Linked DNA regions of Astyanax mexicanus. The protein of the gene in region 1 interacts with the protein of each later gene in a pairwise test. Links are inferred from orthologs where the notes say so. Each region holds a gene or a part of one and is shown in the gene's direction. Other genes may lie near its edges.

Evidence for each region. The genes of interacting proteins can lie anywhere in the genome.
Region 2: the proteins of E3 ubiquitin-protein ligase RNF5 (region 1) and abhd16a interact in binary tests that used the Homo sapiens proteins (3 or more experiments, as listed by UniProt). The link is inferred for Astyanax mexicanus from reciprocal best matches to the Homo sapiens genes RNF5 and ABHD16A.
Region 3: the proteins of E3 ubiquitin-protein ligase RNF5 (region 1) and yipf2 interact in binary tests that used the Homo sapiens proteins (3 or more experiments, as listed by UniProt). The two-hybrid records come from large-scale screens. The link is inferred for Astyanax mexicanus from reciprocal best matches to the Homo sapiens genes RNF5 and YIPF2.

What each region holds. Positions count from the first base shown.
Region 1 is NW_026040044.1:3,464,940-3,472,445, forward strand, and holds the start of E3 ubiquitin-protein ligase RNF5, read left to right. Parts: upstream 1-4,500; 5' UTR 4,501-4,583; coding exon 4,584-4,744; intron 4,745-7,506. Other genes in the region: uncharacterized protein LOC125790051, read left to right, coding at 263-301, 517-558, 964-1,005, 1,107-1,145, 1,540-1,581, 1,683-1,753. UniProt on the Homo sapiens protein: Membrane-bound E3 ubiquitin-protein ligase that mediates ubiquitination of target proteins. May function together with E2 ubiquitin-conjugating enzymes UBE2D1/UBCH5A and UBE2D2/UBC4.
Region 2 is NC_064413.1:5,136,976-5,144,787, reverse strand, and holds the start of abhd16a (phosphatidylserine lipase ABHD16A), read left to right. Parts: upstream 1-4,812; 5' UTR 4,813-4,851; coding exon 4,852-4,953; intron 4,954-5,427; coding exon 5,428-5,484; intron 5,485-6,788; coding exon 6,789-6,855; intron 6,856-7,812. Other genes in the region: g6fl (g6f-like), read left to right, coding at 1,130-1,156, 1,386-1,432, 3,312-3,333. UniProt on the Homo sapiens protein: Phosphatidylserine (PS) lipase that mediates the hydrolysis of phosphatidylserine to generate lysophosphatidylserine (LPS). LPS constitutes a class of signaling lipids that regulates immunological and neurological processes.
Region 3 is NC_064426.1:9,771,186-9,778,917, reverse strand, and holds the start of yipf2 (protein YIPF2), read left to right. Parts: upstream 1-4,732; 5' UTR 4,733-4,985; intron 4,986-5,981; 5' UTR 5,982-5,999; coding exon 6,000-6,030; intron 6,031-6,120; coding exon 6,121-6,263; intron 6,264-7,274; coding exon 7,275-7,355; intron 7,356-7,732. Other genes in the region: timm29 (mitochondrial import inner membrane translocase subunit Tim29), read right to left, coding at 1,406-2,052, 3,283-3,379.

The sequences.
Region 1 (7,506 bases):
ATCTCAGCTTGTCCAGAAATGCATGTGTACAGTGTGTCCTTAAGTGGTGGCTCAAAGTGTGATTTACACACATTGACTGTAGGGGGAGCACAAGAGCGAAAAATAAAATATATAAAATGCTGTTTTTATTATATATGTTTAACTACCCACTAATCATTTAATACTGTTCTGATTATTTTTTTATCGATTGACACTATAATGATATTTCATCCTGCTGTTCGCTAAATGTATAATGTATTAAATATGTATTTATTATTTACAGGAAGGTTGGCTGCTTCTATGGATATTCCTCTAACTCTGGGTAATACTGTTTATACCATTATCATTAACTGCTGTATGGTTGATCATTAACAACATTAGATCAAATGTATTTTTGCAAAGAATTTCAATTAAATGTTAATTAATACAAAAAAAAAAAAAAAATATATATATATATATATATATATATATATATATATATATATATATATATATATATATACATAATATAATTTTTTTTCATTCTCTCATTCTTAGCTGGTGATGATTTTGATCAGAAGGGACTGACTCCAGCTGGACGTGAGTTTAATACACTCTGATCAGAAAAATGTGTATATTTCTTGCTGGTCTTAATAATATTTAATAAATATGTTTTTATTAATTACTGGAAGATTTGCTGCTTCTATGGATATTCCTCTAACTCTGGGTAATATTGATTATTGTATTATTATCAGCTGCTGTTCAGTTCAACATTTCAACATCTCTGCCCTTGTCTTCACTGCTCCTATTTGCAGCCCCGCCCCCTCGTTACCTGTTCCTGGTGTTTCCTGTTTCCTGTCTACTTCTGTGTGAATATAGCCTCTGTGTTTCTGTGTTTCCTTGTTGGTTCTTGTGCATTTGACGTCTGTTCAATTTGCTAATAAGTCATTATAAATATATATTATATATATATATATTTTTTTTTTTCCATTCTCTTCTTTTTAGCTGGTGATTATGAAGGTCAGAACAGACTGATTCCAGCTAGACGTGAGTTTATAAGATCATAACGAGAACATTCACTAAACACAAACTAAGTACAACCTGATCTTTAAAATATTCATGATTAAATATGTATTTATTCATTACAGGAAGATTTGCTGCTTCTAAGGATATTCCTCTAACTCTGGGTAATATTGATTATCTCATTATTATCAGCTGCTGTACAGTTTAACATTCCGTAACTCCAATAATCAATATTAGTCTCATGTTCTCGTCCTGTTCCGTGTCCTCCCCTTCTGTCTCCATGTTTTTCTCGCCATGTGCTCTTTAGCACATGGCTCTCTGTTTTTTTTTCCTTGTCTCCGCCCTTGTCTTCAGTTCTTCCAATTGCTAGCTCTGCCCCCTTGTTACCTGTCCCTGGTGTTTCCTGTTTCCTGTCTACTTCTGTGTGAATATAGCCTCTGTGTTTCTGTGTTTCCTTGTTGGTTCTTGTGCATTTTACGTCTGTTTAATTTGCTAATAAGTCATTATAAATATATATATATATATTTATTTATTTTTTTTCCATTCTCTTCTTTTTAGCTGGTGATTATGAAGGTCAGAACAGACTGATTCCAGCTAGACGTGAGTTTATAAGATCATAACGAGAACATTCACTAAACACAAACTAAGTACAACCTGATCTTTAAAATATTTATGATTAAATATGTATTTATTCATTACAGGAAGATTTGCTGCTTCTAAGGATATTCCTCTAACTCTGGGTAATTTTGATTATTTCATGATTATGTGCTGAAAATTTCTTCACTTACTAACATCAATAATCAATATTCTTTTTATTTTATAAAAATATTATTTTAGCAGGATTAAGAATGCCTGGGCCAAAGCAATTAATAAGGAATAATCCGGTACACCCTGTGAGGCTCCAGTTAATACAGCTTAAAATATCATTTATCTATTTGTTTCCAAATATATAATTTATTTTTTAATGTAATAGCAAAAATCTTGACCAGAAATGCATGTGTACAGCGTATCCTTTAGTGGTGGCTTAAAGCACGAATTACACATCTTGACTGTAGGGGGAGCTCAAGAGCAAGAATTATTAATTCCACATAATGATGTGTTAATATAAGATAACAATATATTTAATTATAAAGAATTCATATTGAATGAAATTATTTAATAAATTAAACATTTTTTTCAGCTAATGTTTGTGGTGAGGATGATGAAGGTCAGAATAGATTGACTGCAGGACTGAGCCCAGCTGGACGTGAGTTCATAACCTGATCATGAAGAGTCTTAAAGAACTCTGTTCACTAAATTAGAAATTAATTTAATTTGAGATATTTTTAATTTTTAATTACAGGAAAATTGGCTGCTTCAATGGATATTCCTTTGACCTTGGGTAAGGTTGAGTATTTCACTCTATTTCAGCTGCTAATAACAGTTTATCATTTACTGTAATTAACTATATTAATATATATATTAAAATTGTTTGTTATGTACTTAATAATACAGGTAGTGGATAAATGGTATCTCAATAAAATGAGAGTAATGCAGAAAATACATTTTATAAATGTATATATTTATATTTTAAATATATATTATATATATTACATATATTTATCACATTTTTTCATTTTCAGCAGAGACAGCTGAATCTTTTGACCAGTGAAGAATCAGAAATTTGCAGTGGACACAATCACCTGCAAAAATGTTCTGGTTGTCATAATTTTTTTGGCAAAAATACGACATTTGTGTGTTTCTTTGGTTGATTTCTAAATAACCCTCCGTTTGTATTTTGTATTTTGTATTAAAACTTATGTAAAACAGTAGATTTTCTACACGTTGTCGGAGTTTAAACTGTGTACTGTAATAATTAAATATTTAATATTGAATATTGTTATTTTTTATTGAAACTGTTTTTTTATATGATGTGTTTTTATGTGTATATATTTGTTTTGCATTTACTTGATCTGAGATTAGATTTTCAGCTTTATTTTAAGAGCATTGGGTCAACAACTTTACTTGGTAACTGTTACAGTCTGGTCAAATGCAGTATAAACCAGAGAAACAAACTGATCGCTTAAAATGTTTACTTTTTTGTCTGCTTTGTATATTTCTGTATTTTTTATAAAATGTAAGAAATCCTGGTAATACAATGAATTAAAATATATATTTAAATAACATTTTTTGTTTGTCTTTGGGTAATGTCCCTTTCATATATTTTTTATTTGCACAATAAAGTATAATTTTATGCATATTGCTTTAAAAGAAATAATTGACATACAGAGACAATCAATATATTTGACGTGTATTTTCATATGAAGTTTATGAAAAAAATTACTTGCTGTAAGAATTAATCTACAATGTAGAAAATAAATAACTAGATGAGACTTTTATTTAGAGTAAATCATACTTCAAAGTGCATTTCTTTAAAATATACTTTTAAATAGTACATTTTAATTATTTATTATTTTATTATGTACACCTTTAATCGCGTATACTTTAGTATTAAAACAGAATTTTATTAATTATAAAGTATAATTTCATGCATATTGCTTAAAAATACATTTTTTTAAATACAGAGAAAATATATGTAACGCGTATTTTCATATGAGGTTTATAAAATAGAAAATGTACTTTTAGTGTGTTTTACCTAATTTGAACATACTTTTAGGGATATTAAGTATCATCTTAAACTGTCAAACATTTTTGTGTTTCCTGAAAAATCTACAATGTAGAAAATAAATTAAATTAAGAAATAAAGAAAACTTTTATTTAGAAGACTTTTATTTAGTCTCAATCACACTTTAAAGTACATTTCCTTAAAAATATACTTGTAAATAATACATTTTAACTATGTAATGTTACATTAAGCACACTGTTTAGAAGATCATATATTTTCTATCAACACACTAAATATAATTTAATGCATATTGCCTAAAAGTGCATTTTATGGAAATACAGAGAAAATATATTTAACATGTATTTTCATATGTTTATTTCATAAGTTTATGAAATAGAAAATTTACTTTTAGTGTTCTTTACATAATTTGAACCTACGTTTAGTGTTATTTTTAGCATCCTCTTATGCTTTTGTTTGCAAAAAAAAAAAAAAAAAGTTTATTATTTTAGGAATGTGGCAAAATTCACCTACAATGTAGAAAATACATTTAAAAAAAGAAATTAAGAAAAACACTGAATTTAAGTACACTTTTAATTGCGTACAATTTTTATATTTTGTATTTTTAAACATTTATAATTATGTTTAGAAGTATACATATTTTCTATCAACAGACTAAATTATAATTTAATGCATATTGCTTAAAAAATACATTTATAGTATTCCGTTAAACTCTTAAAGTTTTTGTGTTTCATAAAAAAATTATATTTTTTTAAATATATAAATTAAATAAATGTATTAAGTAAAACACTAAATGGGAAAGTGTGTGTACAGGCCTAGAGAGACTTTTAGGAGACTTTTATTCTATCTCCTGAAGCGGGGGGACTTTTATTAGTGCGGGCTGGGTGGTGTAGGTGTGTTCAGGAGCAGCAGGCTGTCTGTCTGTCTGTGTGTGTCTGTGTGTTAGAGAAAGAGACAGGCAGAAGGAGGAGGAGGAGAGATGGCGGCGGCGGCGGAGCCCCGGAGCGGGGGAGAGGGACACCACCCCGGGGACGGAGACCGGGAGCGGGACGGGGACGGAGACCGGGCGGCCTTCGAGTGTAACATCTGCCTGGACACGGCGAGGGACGCGGTGATCAGCCTGTGCGGACATCTCTTCTGGTACCTCCAGACCTGCTTATTACTATTATTTTATTATATTAATACATTTATACCTGATTAAAACACGTGCAGTGGCTTTAATCAATAATAATCTAACTGAATAATATGATATATCTGCAGTTTACTGTAAGAAATGAGAGAAAAAGCATTAGGATTAACGAAGGGTCCATTAGGATCCTGTGCTAAATAACTATATACACTGGGAATACAGCACAGTACTAACTAGTTAAATACCTTTACTAACCAACAAACCACAATCACATTAAATAAATATATCATTTAAAACCTTTAATAATGGTTTATGTTGCTGTCTGCTGAAGATACAACAATATGAACATAGTATAACCATACCATATAACCATACTACCATACAGCTCTGGAAAAAAAGAAAGAAATCACTTAAAAATTATGAAATTCTTTGATTTTACCAAATTGAAAACCTCTGGAATATACTCAAGAGGAAGATGGATGATCACAAGCCATCAAACCACCAAACTGAACTGCTTTAATTTTTGCACCAGGAGTAAAGCAGCATAAAGTTTTCCAAAAGCAGTGTGTAAGACTGGTGGAGGAGAACATGATGCCAAGATGCATAAAACAACTGTGATTAAAAAACAGGGTTATTCCACCAAATATTGATTTCTTAACTCTCAAAACTTTATGAATATGAACTTGTTTTCTTAGCATTATTTGAGCTCTGAAAGCTCTGCATCTTTTTTCTTATTTTAGACATCTCTCATTTTCTGCAAATAAATGCTCAGAGCTGTACTATAACACTATTCCTGTAGTATACATAATTCCAATATTGTGGCAGTTACATTTATAGCTAAAATGTGTATATAAATAAGCACTATACCAATAAGTATTACTATGATAGTATATCATATGTATTCTTGCAATAGGAAGTACTATACATATTTAACTTTGAATCAATGTAAAATCAATGCGACATCAGAAATTAATGTTGTTTCAATGCATTTGCGATGGAAAATTTGATTTCGATCTCATTGATTTTATGTTGACTCAACACTGATTCAATGTAAAATCAATGTGCACAAATAAGTTATAGGCTACGATATGCTATAATCATAAGTATTATTCCTAATTTAGTATACCTAAGATTTGGTAGTTACATTTGTATATATGTATTCAAATGGACACCATAGCTGGAAATATAACACCTGTAGAAAAATAGCTACATCTTTTCTATATTAAACATAGTACTATATAATACACCTGTAACAATCACTTCTTTACAACATTAATAAAATGCTTAACTAAGATTATAAACACTTTCGAGCTTATTTTACGTAGACATTGTAAAAAACTCAAGCAACTGTTAATGTTAAATGTTATTATAACTATCCTAAACCATCCTAATAACAGGTGTAATGTTATAAACACTGGAAAAACATCACAGATACCATGCATCCAGGCCTTTACTCAACAGTTATACAACATTACAGTTCTGAATAATGCTGAATACTGGCCTAAATTTGATTTTAGATACTGAATATTGAGAATTAAATTCAACTTTATTCTAAATACTCAGTAAAAATGAACAATAAGTGCTTTGAATTGTGAAATCTGTGTGTGTTTGTTCCTCATTATCTTCTCTGAGTAGCTAATTTCTACCAAAACATTGTGATTATAGTTTGGAAAATGGGCGATTTACACTAATTTAAAACAATTTAGGCCAGTTTTCTTATAAATATGAGTGAATGAATATCGTGTAAAGTTGTATCTTCTCATTTTTGGGGTTATTTGTGTTTAATAATGTGTAGAATAATGTTTTTTGAGCAAACTTGTTGGATCTGTGCTGAAGCTGGAGTTAGCCTGTTAGCTTCTTAGCTTAGCTTAGCGGTTAGCATAATAGCTAGCTAGCTCACTGACTGAAATAGTAATATTTTATTCGTGTTTATGTCGATTTCATGTGTTTTATATCATTTATAAGTGCACTAGACTCGATGATCTGCTCCTTAGCTATTTATGTAGCTAAGTTAACTAGCTAGGCTTCTTTTCTGTCAGATATTATTAGCCAGCTGGACTAGCCAACCTAGCATCCTAACGTTAGCTAAGCTAAGCTAAGCTAGCCATGTTGTTGTTAAGCTGGGCTGTGTGGAGGACTTTGGAAGCAGGTTCAACGTGTATCCTGTAGCTTTAACGTTGTCTGAATGTGATTAATGAGATGATTTAACTTGGATTTGGCTACATTTTAGGGTGTAAAACCTTTTTAAAAAAAATTAACAACTTTTAGGCATTACTGCTTGTAAACATTAGCTAAACATTGGCTAAATATCGATCCAATGGCTTGATGTTGGAGATAAGTCCAGATAATGCTCCTTGAATATTTCACTTAGAGCAAAGAATGTTGAATAAACCTTAATTTTTGTTGTATTACATTCTTTAATGTTGATTAATGTAAAACATATCCAACGTAATGCAATAAAAAAAATTACATTTATTTAATGTTCTTTGCTCTGAGGGATATGGCCATGGAACATTATCAGGACTTATCTCCAACACCAAGCCAGGTGACCAATGTTTAGCCAATGATAACAAGCAGGGATCCCTAAAAATTATATTTTTATAGGTTTTAATATTGACTAATAGGCATTGGTTAATGTTAAATCTCTGACAGTGAATCAGCATTGATCTTTTAAAGGCTTGTAATCAGGGCTGGATGATGTGGTAAAAAATTTATGTCACAATTTCCTAATTTCGGTCAGTATGATACAATTCCAATATCAATATGCCCTTGG
Region 2 (7,812 bases), on another chromosome or scaffold:
GCTTTTTCTCACTATAAGGCACATTTAAAATCCTTTAATGTTCCCAAAAATCAACAGTGGGCCTTATAATCTGGTGCACCTAATGTATAATTTTTACCAGTCAGGTTGTACTGTACTGTAAAGTACTGCTTTATAAAGGAGTTTCAGTGAAGTTTCTCCAGCACCAAGACTGGAGCAGTATTAGCATTAGCCACTAACTACAGTGCTATCTCTTTCGCCATTCAGAGGTGAGAATAACGGACTGTAGCCTGCGTGATTAGCGTTTCTAAACAAGCTACGTGGGAGAAACCACTAACTGATAGCACCCTGGCTTACTAAAACACTCGGTGTTCCTCAGTGTAGCGCTATCAGGTGGAATTTACTAGCACTAAGCGCTGCTGCTAACCGCGCTGTTGAAAATATTGGAACATATCTAACCTTACTGTAAATAAATGGAAGTGCTTTATTCACCCAAATAAATAGTTGTCAGGAGAGAAATCTGTGTAGATTAACGTGGCAACACCCTTGTTCCTTATTATTGTGACATAAAATGCGCCTTATAATACGGTGTGCCATGTAGTCCTTAAAATTCTTCTCTGCAAGATCCAACCGGTGAACTGTGTTTACAGACTGTGATTTCTGGAAGTGTTCCTGAGCTCTTGCTGTGATGATGGTATTTACTGTAGATGATGTGATATCCAAAGTCTTCACAAATTTGGGATTTTAAGAAACGTTTTTCTGAAATTGTTCCTCCATATTTAAAAAAAAAAATAGATTTTTTTTAAGGCACAGATGCTCATCTTTGCATTTAAGGGACTCTGCCTCTCCAAAATTCTCTTTAATAAAAAAAATGACGTAGTGTAATTGCATATACAGTATAATTGCATAATTACTAATTAATTAAATTTCTGCAATTTTTGAGTGTAAGAAATACGAAACCTGGCTATTCACAGCTAATAATCATGCCAGCAAGGACAATAGGGTTTATATAAAACTACTGGATGTCTGCCAGTCGAGCAGTTATTACTTATCATATCAGTCAACATCTGGTTTAAATTCATACCTCCTCCATCCACCAACCTCCAGACACCACCATTCACTGTTTCTCCCCCCACCTCTCTCTCTCTCTCTCTCTCTCTCCCCACAATAGTCTTCCCCACATGGTGCTGTTTATATGGTGAGTTATCAAATTTTAAAGAGCGTGTTTCTGTGCATATTTCTGTATGTATGTGTCAGAGGATAATAATGCAGCTTCTACAATCTGGTGTGTGTGTGTGTGTGTGTGTGTTCACTTTTTACTGTCAGTCTTACATTAGAAATATTAGAGGATGAGCTGACCCGAACCTCCTCCAGACCATAAATCTTATCTCTTCTCCTCCTCCTCCTTCATCTCCCCCCTCCCTCAGGACCTGAAGCCCACCGGAGAGGCGGACGTGTATAAGGAATTAGACAGGTGAGAGATGATGTGTTCAGGTCACAGAAAGAGCACCACTGGTTCAGCCCCCACCAGTGCATTAATCACCACACTATATTAAAGGAGTACTTCATCTGTGTTCAGCTTTATCTCTGTCTGCTGTATCTGTCTTGTACCATCAGTTACCTCAAACAGTTATTGCAACATGTACATTTTGTGTACTTAGAAAAGAACAAAAAGCACATTGACTCAGTATTGACTTATTCAGGAAGTTGTAGGCTCTAGACTCAGGTCTGAATTTCAGTCATCACCAGTATCTCATGTTACAGCAGAATTGAGAGTATAATATACAATACCTGTAAAAGTTTGGTCGCACATCTTCTTATTTAATGTATTTCTTTCTTTTTGTGGTTTTTTTTTTTTTTTTTTTTTACATACACAAAAAGTGTTAAACAAGTGTAAAACCAGAATATGTTTTATACTTAAGCAGTAATACACAAGACGGAGTTCTATGATGTGTAATATTGGCACTGCTGTGCTGCGGTTGTAGATCAGCGCAGCAGTGCCGATATCACACAGCATAGCACAAACCTTCAATGTATTATAGCGATTATACCACAGTTATATTATTGATAGTTACTGTTTATTGAAAGATTTTGAGTTAAAAAGGACGAGAAAATACGATCTTTTCGGTTATAAACACTCAAGCAAGTTAAAATAGTTCCATTGCTGCTCTGTTTGTAGTTGCGCTGTTTGGCTTGTATGCGCTGCATCGTTGCTGGCTTACCTGTATGTGACCTGTGGTAATACATGGAGAGCTTGGGTTGCAGTCCATTACAGGGCTGATAATGGCACTCACTCACAGAATGTCTCTCAGCCAATCACTCTAATAATTTATTTTTTCTTGCCATGAGCATTCTATCCAACGTATAGACTTATATACAATATAGGCTTTGGTGTGGGCATTTCCAAGCCATCCCCTGATGTATGTAACAAATAAGTTGCACACTGCTATCCCTTGATTTTTGGTATGTCAGTGTGACTAATAATAATAATAATACTATTTATGAGTTTTTGATGAAGTAATTTGTGTTATTAACAATATTAATATATTTTACTGTTATTTAATTATTTTTTGGTTCCACTTGATTTAGAGAACCTCCTGTAGATTCTTTTCTAGGGTTTAGATTATTAATATATTGATTAGGACCAGGGTAAGGCCTAATGTTTTGAGTGTTATTTAAGATCCTGCATTTGTTTGGCTCCTCGTTTGGGTATGTGTTTACCAAGATCAGATAGGTGACAGGCTAAGTCCAATATATGTTAGCAATGTTAACCTAGCAAATCCTGTTCTAAACAAACGAAGCACACATCAGACATGTCTTTGCTGATCGACTGTATGTGGGGTCAGACATCAATCAATCATGTTACTTTTGATTTTTACCAGACTAATTCTTTAAAGCCTTCTGGTAACTATGGAAACCATATGGAGACACATTACCAGAAATGTTTCCCTCAGGGATAAATTTACACAGATTATATTACATATAACGGATTATATTACATATAACTGCTGTTGGCACGCTGCCAAAAGTATCAGTTTGTCTTCTATAATATTCATATTTTCTGAGACACCGATTTTTGGGTTTTCATTGGCTGTAAGCCATAATCAACAATAAAAGAAATAAACGCTTAAAAAATAGATCAGTCTGTGTTTAGTATATCCACATAGTATATGAGTTTTACATTTTCAACTGGGACAAAATTGTGTAAAGAAATAAAAAAAAAATCTTCAGTCACATAAAAGTGAAATGTTTAAATCAAAGAAAAAAACAGGGAAAGCCACAAAAAAATATTACATTTTTATATAATATTGCTATATTATCTCATTTTGTGCATGTGTGTCTTTTCATTCCAGATACGACCCGTGCTGTGGATAAGTTTTCTCAAGTGGATGATGAACTCAAATTAATGTATAAGTAATGTTGGCAGGCAGTAATATCTGTTGAAATAAAAACCTGTAAATAATGATGTCTCTGATGATAAGTGTATGCACTATTTAAATCATTATTCTGAATTTTAACTGTATTGTACATCATGTCATCTGTAATAGACATCTGATATAGATCTATGTCCCACAGTGGACTGGTCACATTACTTTGGTCAATCATGCAGTTCCACTCGGGGCCTTATAAATAACAAACAAACAAACGGAAATACAGTAAATGCTGTAAATCAGTGCTGTCATACACAAACCTGTGTGCGTAACTTTTTGTCTTCAGTTTTGTTTTTGTTATTAAAGGCAATAATTCTGTATAAGAAATATTTGTAAAGTATTTATAAAATACATTTGAAAAAAATTAATTAAAGTAATGCATTTGCGTTATACTTAAAAATAATAATAATAAAAAAATAATAATAAAAATATATATATATATTTATTATTATTTTTTTAAGTATAACGCAAATGCATTACTTTAATTAAAAATTTTCAAATGTATTTTATAAATACTTTACAAATATATATATATTTTTATTTTTATTTTCTTTTTTTTTTCTAATGCATTTCACACATATAGTGATTCATGCACATATATTAATTTCTGCCTACAAACATTTGACAAATAAGTTGAAATACGAAGAATAAAAGAGATAACTATTGTGAAAACACCTCAAAGTTATTTTAAAGATAATAAAATGTCTAAAATAACTTTTAAGCATCTAAAAAAATTATCTTAAAATAATGAGAATTTTTCCAAAGAGAAGGCTTCTTAAAAGCAAATAAGCATCATTGCATTATTGCACTGCCACTTATCTGCATCTGCACTTATCTGCATCCTTAATGTGTGTGTGTGTGTGTTTGACTTTTTTCAAAATTATGAAACTATTATTGCCTCAAATATTGCAATTTGTGTATGTACTAGATTTTTTTTTACATTAAAAGCATTAAAAGCATAAATGATCAAACTGCAGTGTTTGTAGCTCAAAAAAGGTGATCACTAGTTTGAAATGTTGCTGAACGCTTAATTTTCCATGTTTTTCAAATGGGGAATATTAATAATAATAATGAAAGACTTAGATTATAATGCATAAGCATTATAATGTGTTAAAAAACAATTTATGCAGCTATCACCTTAAATATTGCACATTGCTTATGTAGTGGATTAATTAATTTTTTTTTACATTTAAAATAACTTTTTAAAAAACATTGTTTGTCCTTATATAAAATTGTCAGAAATAAGATGTTAATTTTTTACAGATGTTTAAACAGGAGTTTAATAAGGTATAGCCTCTTACCACCTGCAGTATTTGTGCATATATATTAATATATAGCATATATAACTGTAGAATTGAATAGAATTTAATGTACACATCACAGTTTTATATTTACAGTTTTGAATGTTTTGAATTAGCTCAGTTCACCCACTCCGGCTTCCGTAGCCGTCGACCGAGGAAGGATGGCCGGCTGGTTGTGGTTCCGCTGCCTGTTCGGGCCCAGCCTGCACCGGATCCACCGCCCGCTCGAGCAGCCCCGACCTGAGGGAAGAGCCGGGAGGCGGGTACGAGCTGATCCCCTTCTTAACAGCCCGCAAAACGGGCTAAAACTCGGGGTTTGGGCTCGTTAAGAGCCGCTAGGGAAGTGCAGGGCTTTGAGTTGACAGGCTAACCTTAGCTAGCACTGTAGTTAGCTAACTAGCTAATGTCAGTCTGTCAGAATAACTGTAAATGTACACAAATTAATCACTGAAATTAGGTTTTGAGAGTCTTAACTATCAGTTAGGATTATAAAAGGGAAATCTGAGACCTCTCTGATAGCTGTAGTTTATGTTTTAGATAGATTTTCAGCATATTCCCAAGTCTTATTTTTAATCTCGCGTTCCACCTTAAATGCTCCTGCTGTAGCGTTATCATCCTGAGGCGCCAGAATGTAACAAGAGTGCCATTTAAGGTGGAACGGATAGTTCGAGTAATAGGGGAAAGTGGCTGTTTTGCTGTTTTTATTCTGTGCATTAAAATCACTGTCACCTTTACAGGGTTGGGATTATCAGCCGAAAACTTTGGAAAGACACACAGACAGTATCCTCGGTTGGGTAAGTCCTTTCTTACTTACTCTTAAAATCTTAAAGCTTTACCCTCCATGGCTTTAATTGTATTTTTTGAAAGATTGAGAGCCCCTGTGGATATATACAATTAATATAACCAAAATGTTTGTTTTGACTTTTAATAATCTTTTTTTAACTTTTGATAATATTGTTTTGACTTTTGATAATTGGATGTTTTAGAGCAAGGAAGCATAAAACACTGTTTATTAAGTTTACAACAAGAATCTAGTAAGACTATAAGCTGCCATATATATATATATATATATATATATATATATATATATATATATATATATATATATATATATATATATGACCCACTTGTACATCTCATTGTGTTAGATGTAGACATGCCATGTAACATTATATAAAAAAAAAAATAAATAAAACAAAAGCATAAAATTAAAGTACAGTATGGTGTAATAACCAAACTATACTGGTTTCTTTTGGTATATTGGGACTAGGGGTGGGCGATATGGCTCTAAATTAATATCACAATATTTCATGGTATTTTCACGATAACAGTACTTTTGGCGATATGACAAAACATTGAATTAGAAAAAATATTTAGAATTGTATTATTGCATGCAATATGGTATGGCTAACTGAGATATTAAAAATAAAAAAAAATCACATTTGTAACAATGTCATAATACTAGTAAGGCACTTTGAATATCTTCATATATCCAGGATTTAAGTAAAATAAATTATACTAGACAGATATAATCTGTCTCTAGTAGATATATAATGGGAAATGAGAACAGTGTGAATTTTTCTTTTGCTAAAAATGGCAAAAAAGTAGTACTCTGACGCGATAATTTGGGGGTAAGTGATATGGCATGATATTTCAGGGTATAATATCGTTGACGATATTTAAAATTTTTTGGCAATATTATCACGTACGATACGATATGGCACACCCCTAATTAGTACAGTCATGAAAGAGCTGAAAAACTCATGGAATTTCAAAATAGAAATTTTCAGGCCTGGATATGTTTCGGAATGTGTTTTGGAATGTATGTTTAAAATGTAAGAAGTAAAAGAGTTCACATAATTGTGTGAGGAGTAGAAGTAGAAGTAAAAAGTCGTCTAAAGAATAATTACTCCAGTAAAGCATAGATAACCAACATTTCTACTTAAGTAAGGTAATTAACTGTTTTTACTTGGTTAATTGATACCTCTGTTCAATTCTGATATGATTTCAGATCAGATTTGTTTATTAAAAATGTTCCAAAATTAACAGTGTGCTTCTATCACTTATATGTTAATGTTTTTTTTTTTTGTCCCTTCAGGCCTCAGCACTGTGGTCCCTGTCTTATTACAGCTCTCCTCTCATCCTCTGCTATCTGTACAGGAAAGGTAAACACTACTAACAGCTACTAGTATAGCAGTAATCCAGCTCAAGTTAACAAGCTAGTTAATATAGGCTAGGCTAATATAGCTAACAACTAGAAGTGAGCAACGTGATGATGATGATACTAAGGCTGCTACTGAGGCTTATTTTAGTAGGCGACAAATCTACCAATTATTGTTTCGATTCGTTAATTAGTCATAATTATTTTTGCCATGCGCTACATTGTGGTTCGTAGTCTGGAGGATTATGTTCCAATGCATGTTTTACAGCATCTTTACAGCTAAACCTTTTGAGTCCTAGACAGATTTTGCAGGACATAGTAATAGTTTATGAGGAACCCTTACTGTTCCAGTTACCCAGGGTGATATTAGCTAGGGGTTTGTACCATGTAGCTTGTTTTAACCTGGTAAACACGCAGGCTACAGTCCGATATACTCAACTCTGAACGGCGAAAGAGCTAGCGCTTAATGAGCAAGTTCTTAGGCTAATGCTGCTCCAGCAGTGTTTACCGGGGTTAGCAGCAGGCTACAGGCTGAGAATACTGACCCCTGAATGGTGAAAGAGCTACTGCTTAGCGTGGTTAGCGGCTAATGCTAATACTGCTCCAGTCTCGGTGCTGGAGAAACTTCACTGAAACTCCTGTGAAACATTGTACTTCTGCAGAGTGGCTTTACTGCTCCTTTTAACCTGACTGGATTTAAAGGCGCACTGACGATTTTTGAGAAAATTAAAGGATTTTAAGTGCGCCTTATAGTGCAAAAAATACAGTAATTTCTTATATTGTGAGGAAGTTATTGTAGTTATTTTACTAACGGGGATATGTAAGTCCGTAAAATATTGTCCTTTAATTATTTAGATATTATTTCTTTATGTATAACAATTTACTTATTGTATTATTAATAATTGTCTTTGCACTGCCTGTGTAATGCAATATCTTGGTGAATCATGTGATCATCCTCTCC
Region 3 (7,732 bases), on another chromosome or scaffold:
AGGTGGTTGTTGTTAGCACTGTATCCTAATACATTATGCAGTATTTTGCAGATTTAAACATGGAATTTGATCTACAGATAAAACTTGAGCAGTACTGTGTATAGAACTTATTTAATGAGACAGATAGATAGAAGTGACAACAAGCAGTATATATTACTGCTTTTACTTCTACTGATGTACAGGGCAGCCATCTTGGATTCCTAACTCAGGGTTGGTGGAGCTTTTATCATTTTGATAATTGGAAGTCCGTCTTGGAACTAGAAAATTCTGACATGGGAGTTCAAATGGAATGCAGCCTTACATAATCAAAAGTGACAGTGACTACAAAATAACAATAATGTTTATTGATTCAGTTCATCTTCACAGACTATGCCAAACATTTCATATTTCACCAGCACTCCTAAAAAATAAAAGGTGCTACAAAAGGGTTCAAGTGATGCCATAGAAGAAACATTTAGTTCATTTTAGTTCTATAAAGATTTTAATGTACATTTCTGCAAGAGATGTGAGTGTAAAGAAGCTGATTTAGGTTTGAATAAGTTATGGTCACTCGCATCACTCAAATTTGTCTCTTGTGAGTGTGTTTAAGACTGCTTGTGCTGTCAAGTGTGGCTGTGTATCAGGGCCTGTATCAACATGACTGGTTAGCATGCTGGCTAATGTAGCAAGCTCATCTGCTACTTTCATTAACACTTTAATTTTCTGCAAATTGTCCCTGTATTTGTGCAAAAATGCATCATATAAACGGGCAAAGAAGAATCAGCTGTGCTGAGCCTCTCCGTCATGTTCAAAACCGCTCTGCTCAGAATATGAATGAAATATTGGAGAAACAAAATGTTCACAGAGCAGAATCTGGGGACCCTCAGGTAAAAACACTTAAACACACACAAAAAAAATCATAAACCTTCCTATAAGAAATGACGTTGTGGCCTGCTCTGTGGCCTGCCAGTGTTAAATCAGGGTTAAAGTTCTTTACCAAATCATTTTACTTTATATTTTACATTCATATATTTTCAAAAAATGGTTAATCTCACTGGAGATGCACAAATTAGTAGCAAGGAACAGGCCCACGTCTCTACCAACACACCACCTCACCAAGGTTTTGTCAAAAAAAAAAAAAATATTTTGCTGAGCCTTGAATAACAATTTTGTAGCACCTTTAGTTTTAAGATTAAAGTATTAACATACAGTATAGCAATACATGACATTTTTTGTCCCAGAATTCCAACAACACTATATAAACTGAAGTCCATGTCCAGAGAAATGCGCTTTCCCTTCCGGGCTGCTGCTCACAGATTTATCTGATCATATGTGACATGCCTCCAGTCCATATGTCCATGCCAGCACACGTCCTTTAGTGAAGCACATCAACGCTTAGGTGCATCTGTTCTTACACAGTTTTCTCTCATCCTTTCGCCACGATCTCCCCCTCTTTCTGTACACTCACTGCACCATCTGCCGTTTCCTCCTCTACCTCCATCACCAGCGCCTTCAACGAATCTCTGTGCAGTCTCTCATTCCTCTCAGTCTCCTGCACTGAAGGGGGAGCTGTGGCCACCAAAGCCGGAGAGAGATGCTTAAACTCTTCCTCGTTAATGTCATAGTCCTTCATCTTCTGGTGCAGTACCCACCAGCGTCCAGCGAAGCCCACGTCCAGCATGCGCCCGGGCAGCTCTGCCCAGGGCACAGACAGAGCCGAGCACTGAGCCTCGTACAGGCTGCTCTCAGGGTCGTAGCTCACCACGTAGGTCACCGAGGCCACGCCCAGACTAAGGTAGCGCAGTCGACCTTCATTACGCAGCCTCACCAGGTTCTGCACGTGACCATCTGACATCCCGCTTCGTATCCATGGTGACAGAAGGGCCAGTTTATTGGAGGTTTCTAGCAGATCAGTCTGGAAGGACGTGTCATCTGGATTTGTTCGATAACAGAAATACGCCCCCCCCAGCAGGACCGCGTAAGCTGAGGCTTTAAAGGGACGCTCCCGTGCTCCAACAACCACCTCCCGGCAGGCCTCCTTGTAGTCACCCAAAAGACTACGGCACCACACACCTGCAAAAAGGACATTTTAACTGGTTTTACTGGAATAGGATTTTATAATAGCAAAACATATGAAAACCAAAAATATTGATTTTTAATGGTTAATTAACATGTCTACTTTTAATACTCCTACCAAAGTAGAGTGTAGAGTAGAGGGCAAAACCTTTACTAAACTCTACTAGATATCTGCAGTTTCTGCAGCAGTGCACAATATGAACATAAATGCAACATACGATGACACCGTATCCCAAAATGAATGTGGAACACAATAAATTAAGAACATAAATTAGCTCTTTAAATGTTTTTAAAAATGTTACTTTTATTTTATTTTGTAGTAGTTTGGTGTGTGCTCTACCACTAGTGGAGCTCTACTCTGCCTCTAGTCTAGTTAGGTCATGTAAGCACAGTCTGCAGTGTGAATAGCTCCCTCTGTGGATGTGGAGGGTTTGAGAATTCAGTGTGAACTTAATTATTAAATGTGTTATTTTCTTTCTGTCAGCCATAGCTGAAAATCATACATCTCATTTTTACATTCCATTACATTACTGTTGTATTTTTCTACTAACACAATGTCTTCTATTGTTTGGACTTTTTTCGACCCAGTGGAATTAAACTAAACAGGAATGATAGTAAAGTGAATTAAACCCGATATAGAATACCATATTCTGCAATTGTTCTTCAGTAAGAGCAGGATGTGACACTAAGTGGATCTTTTTGCCTGATTTTATTAGATGGCATTTTTGATACATCTTACTGATCCTCTCTCCTGGTTTTGAATGTGCTATAAGCTGTAAGGTGCCACTTCTTTTAAAATTTACAAGTAAAATAATTTGTTAATATCTATTAATCTATCCATATATCTTCGATATTAAATTTACAATGTAAAAAAAAGAATGAAAGAAGTGTGTCTTTCATGTGTCTAATAACCTAAAAGACCTTGGTAATGGAGATGCAAGAGCGTTTGTGTTAAGAGGAGAACATATATTTCAGTTTTGACCTACAGTTAGTGTTAAACATGTGTTTATTCTCACCATTTGGGCATAATTAATATAAAATTAAATTAAGGATCAGAGTTTCTACTGAATTATATTATGTTATTATTATATATATTAATTAACTGATTCTACTGTCGGGCAGTAGACTGCTTCTCCTCTCCAGTTCTGCAGTAGATCAGCAGCTGCTGATCGGGTTAATAATAAAGAGTATATTTAATCTGTATGTCTCGGTAGGTAAAGCGCTCACCCACGCGGCCGCTCTTCAGCCTCTCCCACCGGCTGCCCTTGCCCTGAGCCTCCGCTGCGGTGGAGCAGAGCCTCCTGAAAACACACGAGGCAGCCATGACAGTCCGAACACACGCTGATCAGCGGCTCAGTGCTCTCAACTCAACCGGAACCGATACCGCCGGCTCTGTTTCCACACGGCCCCCCCACACAACACGCCCACTGGCGAAACCACTGAGCCGAAATGGCGCAGGCTCGGTCAAAGAACCTGTAGACCACTTTAAAACCTCTTTATGTCAGACCACCAGAGGGCGCTCCCGAGTCCTAAATGAATAGGTTCAGATTGTAAATGTTTGCTAAATTTTTAAACCGAAAAATGTGATTAGTTCCTCAACATATCAAATGTTAATGCCAAATACAAACTTTTAAAGTCCACTTGGAAACATTTAAAACATGTGCTGGCTGTTACTTCAGCACTTCTGTAGCAGTGATGCTACCAAATCTGTTGTTCAAATTACGAAATTACGAAATTTAAGCAATATCCTGGACACGTAGTTAATGATCGTTTTTACCGAGTTTTTAACCATTCAACCCCCCTCCCTTTATTTATGGCTCACTCGCAGGCTCCCTCTAGCGGTTATCCCTTATTTTCTGATAACGGAGGAGAGCGGAAGTAGATAGGCTTGCTCTAAACCAGCTCTGGCGTGGTTTGGAGTTGGTGGTCCGATAGGGGGACCATATCAACGGTTTTTACGTTCCACTCTGATTTTTCTCTGTCAGTTTTTTTCTTCCTTTTTTAAAAATTAGGTTTTAATTTTGCGATCAGGGGATATGGATTTTAAAGTATAGGTGTAAAGGATTGTATCTCCTTTTTGCTAGCATTACTGTTACTGTGTGCTAACTGATTGGTGTGCTAACACTGGATTTACAAAGCACATTTAGTCAAAGCACATTTAAAAGGCTTATAAATTAAGTTTAAAAGCTTGAAACATTTTATATAGTTATGTGTTAATATATATGCGTATATGTATACGATTTACTCGCGAGCGTCCTCTGGTGGACTGTCAAATCCAGAAGAGATTAATAAGTGGGTATTCTCCTCTGTATAAGCTCTCTGCTACAAAAACAGTTAACTTACAGATTTCTGATTCTGAACACAGAACAAAACATTTTAAAAACTTAAAACCCGTCGTAATCTGCCACAGATACACAATGTGCCGTTTCCGTGGTTTTCATGCTTTATTAATAATTCGACTTAAGATTATTTTAGTAAAAAAAAAAAGTACAATAATTAGATTTATTATATTTTAGTCAATATAAAAAAAAATATTATAAAAAATATTTAACTATTAAATCTGCTAAATAACTAGTTAAAATGCTTAGATTTAAAATAAAATCGCGTTTGGTATTTAATTATTTGTTTTTTAAGGTTCCGGCTTGGCTCCGGTCACGTGACCTTATTTTGACACACGCAGGAACTCTGTCGCTGGGAGGGTGACGTGGAGCACGGCGGGATAAACCCACAGCTGCGTGAGATTTCACTGAATTAACTGAGTTGTTTTGTACCCGACTTTAACCCGGTCGTGGCGGTTCAGAGGCGGCGGCTGTAGCGCTGTCTGAGTCCCGGCAGCAGCGCTGTCACTGCTGAGGAGCCTGGTGACCGTTAGTGAAGAGCAGAGGCAGCGTTAATGGTGGGAGAGCTGATGCAGCACTGACTGACCGCTGGTAAGAGGAGGCTAACCGCCTCACAACTAACCCGACTAACCGCTTCATCACCCCGACACGAGCTCATTACCTTCCCCTGTTCCTCACCTTCTGTCAGTTCCACCTTAAACCTGCAGCAGCTGCGGGTCCTGACTGGGGTCTGCAGTGTGTTGATTCAGCTGTTCTTAAACACGCAGAGCTTGGCAGTAGCTTTTCTTATCAAATTAAACAGCTAGTTAGTGTTACAACTGTGAGCTACTAATATACCCTTTCCACCTTAAGTGCTTTAGCAGTTACACTGTTTTAAGTTGGAACAGAATATTTAGATAAAGAAATTAGAAGATAAGCTAAACATGTACTGTAATTAACTAACATCTGATATTTGGTAGCTGAACACATTCATTTTGAACAACTACCACATTTAGTATGATAAGAAAAAATATAACACTGCAGTATGTTATTGTTTTGATATGTACTGTATGTTGTGATATTAAACATCGATTTTTCCTAAAATCAGTGATTTAACATCTTATGATACTAACAGTGTTCTCTCTGTATCAAATATTGGAAAAAAAATAAATGTATTGGCGTTTATTACTTTATTTTTTATGTTTAAGTTATTTATTTTTTGTACCAAGGAAGTTCTAGCATCTCCTGTATGGTTTAATTTGCTTTACATGACACTGCATGTGACATACAATGTGACGATTGTGCATGTGCACACTGTTATGATTATACTAAAACAATATATTATGCAATAATATGCCTTGGATGACCACTTAACAGCACATATTTATTTGTGTGTAGTTCACAATATAATTGCCATTTTTATTTGTTCAGAAGTTAAATGTTTTGAGCAGTCTGTGAGCCTCCAGTAAAGTTGTATGCAGTAGTTCTACCGGTCTTACTAATAAATGTGTTTATAGTTTGACATTTAAAAAATTATTTAGATTTTTATGCCGAAACATTTATAGTGACCTTGTTGGTGTTCTTGTGATATGTTTCTTTTTTCTTCAGTCATTTCTGTGATCTACCATGGCGAGTCCTGACGATTTGAGATTTCAAGGTTGGTACTTCTGTTCAGTAAGTAAACTGTTCAGATGTTCTTGCATGTCTCCTCCTTCCTCACTCTTTTACCTTTTGTAAACCAATGCAGAATTCGAGGAGGCCACAGATTTACTGGCCGCTGACCCCGGTGCCTCCACGCTCAGTATCACCAACTCCAGCACTACTGCACCTGCAGGGGATGTTAAGCTGGACCTGTCAGATGATGAGGAGAATCAGCAGGAGAGCTCAGAGGTGCTTTTATCAACTTAATGCATATTTACAGGAAAGCATGGTGCAGACACTCTCTCTTTTTTTTATTATTATTTTTTTTATTACATATTTTCCACAAGTAGGCAAGCCTTGCAAGTGTCTTGCCCAAGGATGCCAAAAGGTGCAATGTAATATAGGGCTAAAATGCTCAAATTGGATCTTTCATCAATTTACAATTTAGCCTTGGCTTATGGTGCCCCTTAAAAAAAGATGAACCCTTCACTAATTGGCTGGTTTACATCGCCGAGACATCTCAAGTGAGCCATGTAGAATAGCTTTGTTTTAGCACTGTAACACAAACAGGCATACCAGAAAATGTTGCAATCATCTCTGTGTGCTTTCAGTGTCTTTTCGGCACATTGTGGGGTTACAAAGCTGAGAAATTTGTAGCCTGGCAAGTGGGGATAAAATTAACCCTTTAAGCCTAATTTCTAAACTCTCTGCCCTTTGGGCGAGCCCTTTTCTAAGGTTAAGAAACAGTTCAGAAATTTGTTCAATGCATATCTCGGTTTTGGCTCAACTGGATTTTCTTTTTAAGGAGGAACAACAGTGTTTGGGGTTTACAGTTTGTCACTTCCTTGTTCTGAACTATTATTTAACTTCGGCAAGATAAAACCTGTTTTCTGCTCTAGTTCCCCCTTTACCTGCCTTTATCTCACTGTGAGCTGGTTTACTTATTTACTAAAGGTGCTGCATTACAGCCAGGTACAGGGCACATTAATAAGGCAAATGTAAATTCTGTAACTGCTACATAGAACCTTGTGACCAGTATTAACTAGTGTGAAAATTTGTATATATGTGTTTGCTTAGAGGGCTGCTGAACTCAAATTCATTTAACTACAGAATAATAATAATCTTTTCTCTTTTCTGTATGTGCCCTATTCTCCTTTGTCTTTGCAGAAATCAAGAATTACTACATTTAATACTTCTTAATAGTTGTTCTGACAGGAACTAATGTTGTGTCTGAACACCTGTTTTGTTCTTTACTTGCAGTTGCTTGGAGGTGAAAAACAAAGTGGGGGCTTCTGGACGTTTGAATACTATCAGTCTTTCTTCAATGTTGACACAATGCAGGTATGGAGTTCTTTAGGAGTATATTAATGTGTATTATCAATACAAGCCTTCTGTATACACTGACATGCCAAAAGTCATAGGATAGCAGTATGTTGTGTTACCTCAGAAGAACAGCTTGGGAACACCTAACGCCTGACCTGAGCGTGGGAGCCAGACGGATTTTTAAACAGTCCTCGATCCACATTGTCCTGTGTTTATTAAGAATACTTTATAGAAGACTTTATCACCCACTGTACACCAGTGGCATCTGTGCAAACAGACAAAAATTAGCAGGAATTACATCCACATTTAATGCCACAGTACAGGGAAATGAATACAAATGCCCCTTAAATTTTTTTATTTATTTAATAAATAAAAAGAATTAGCATTTTATTTTA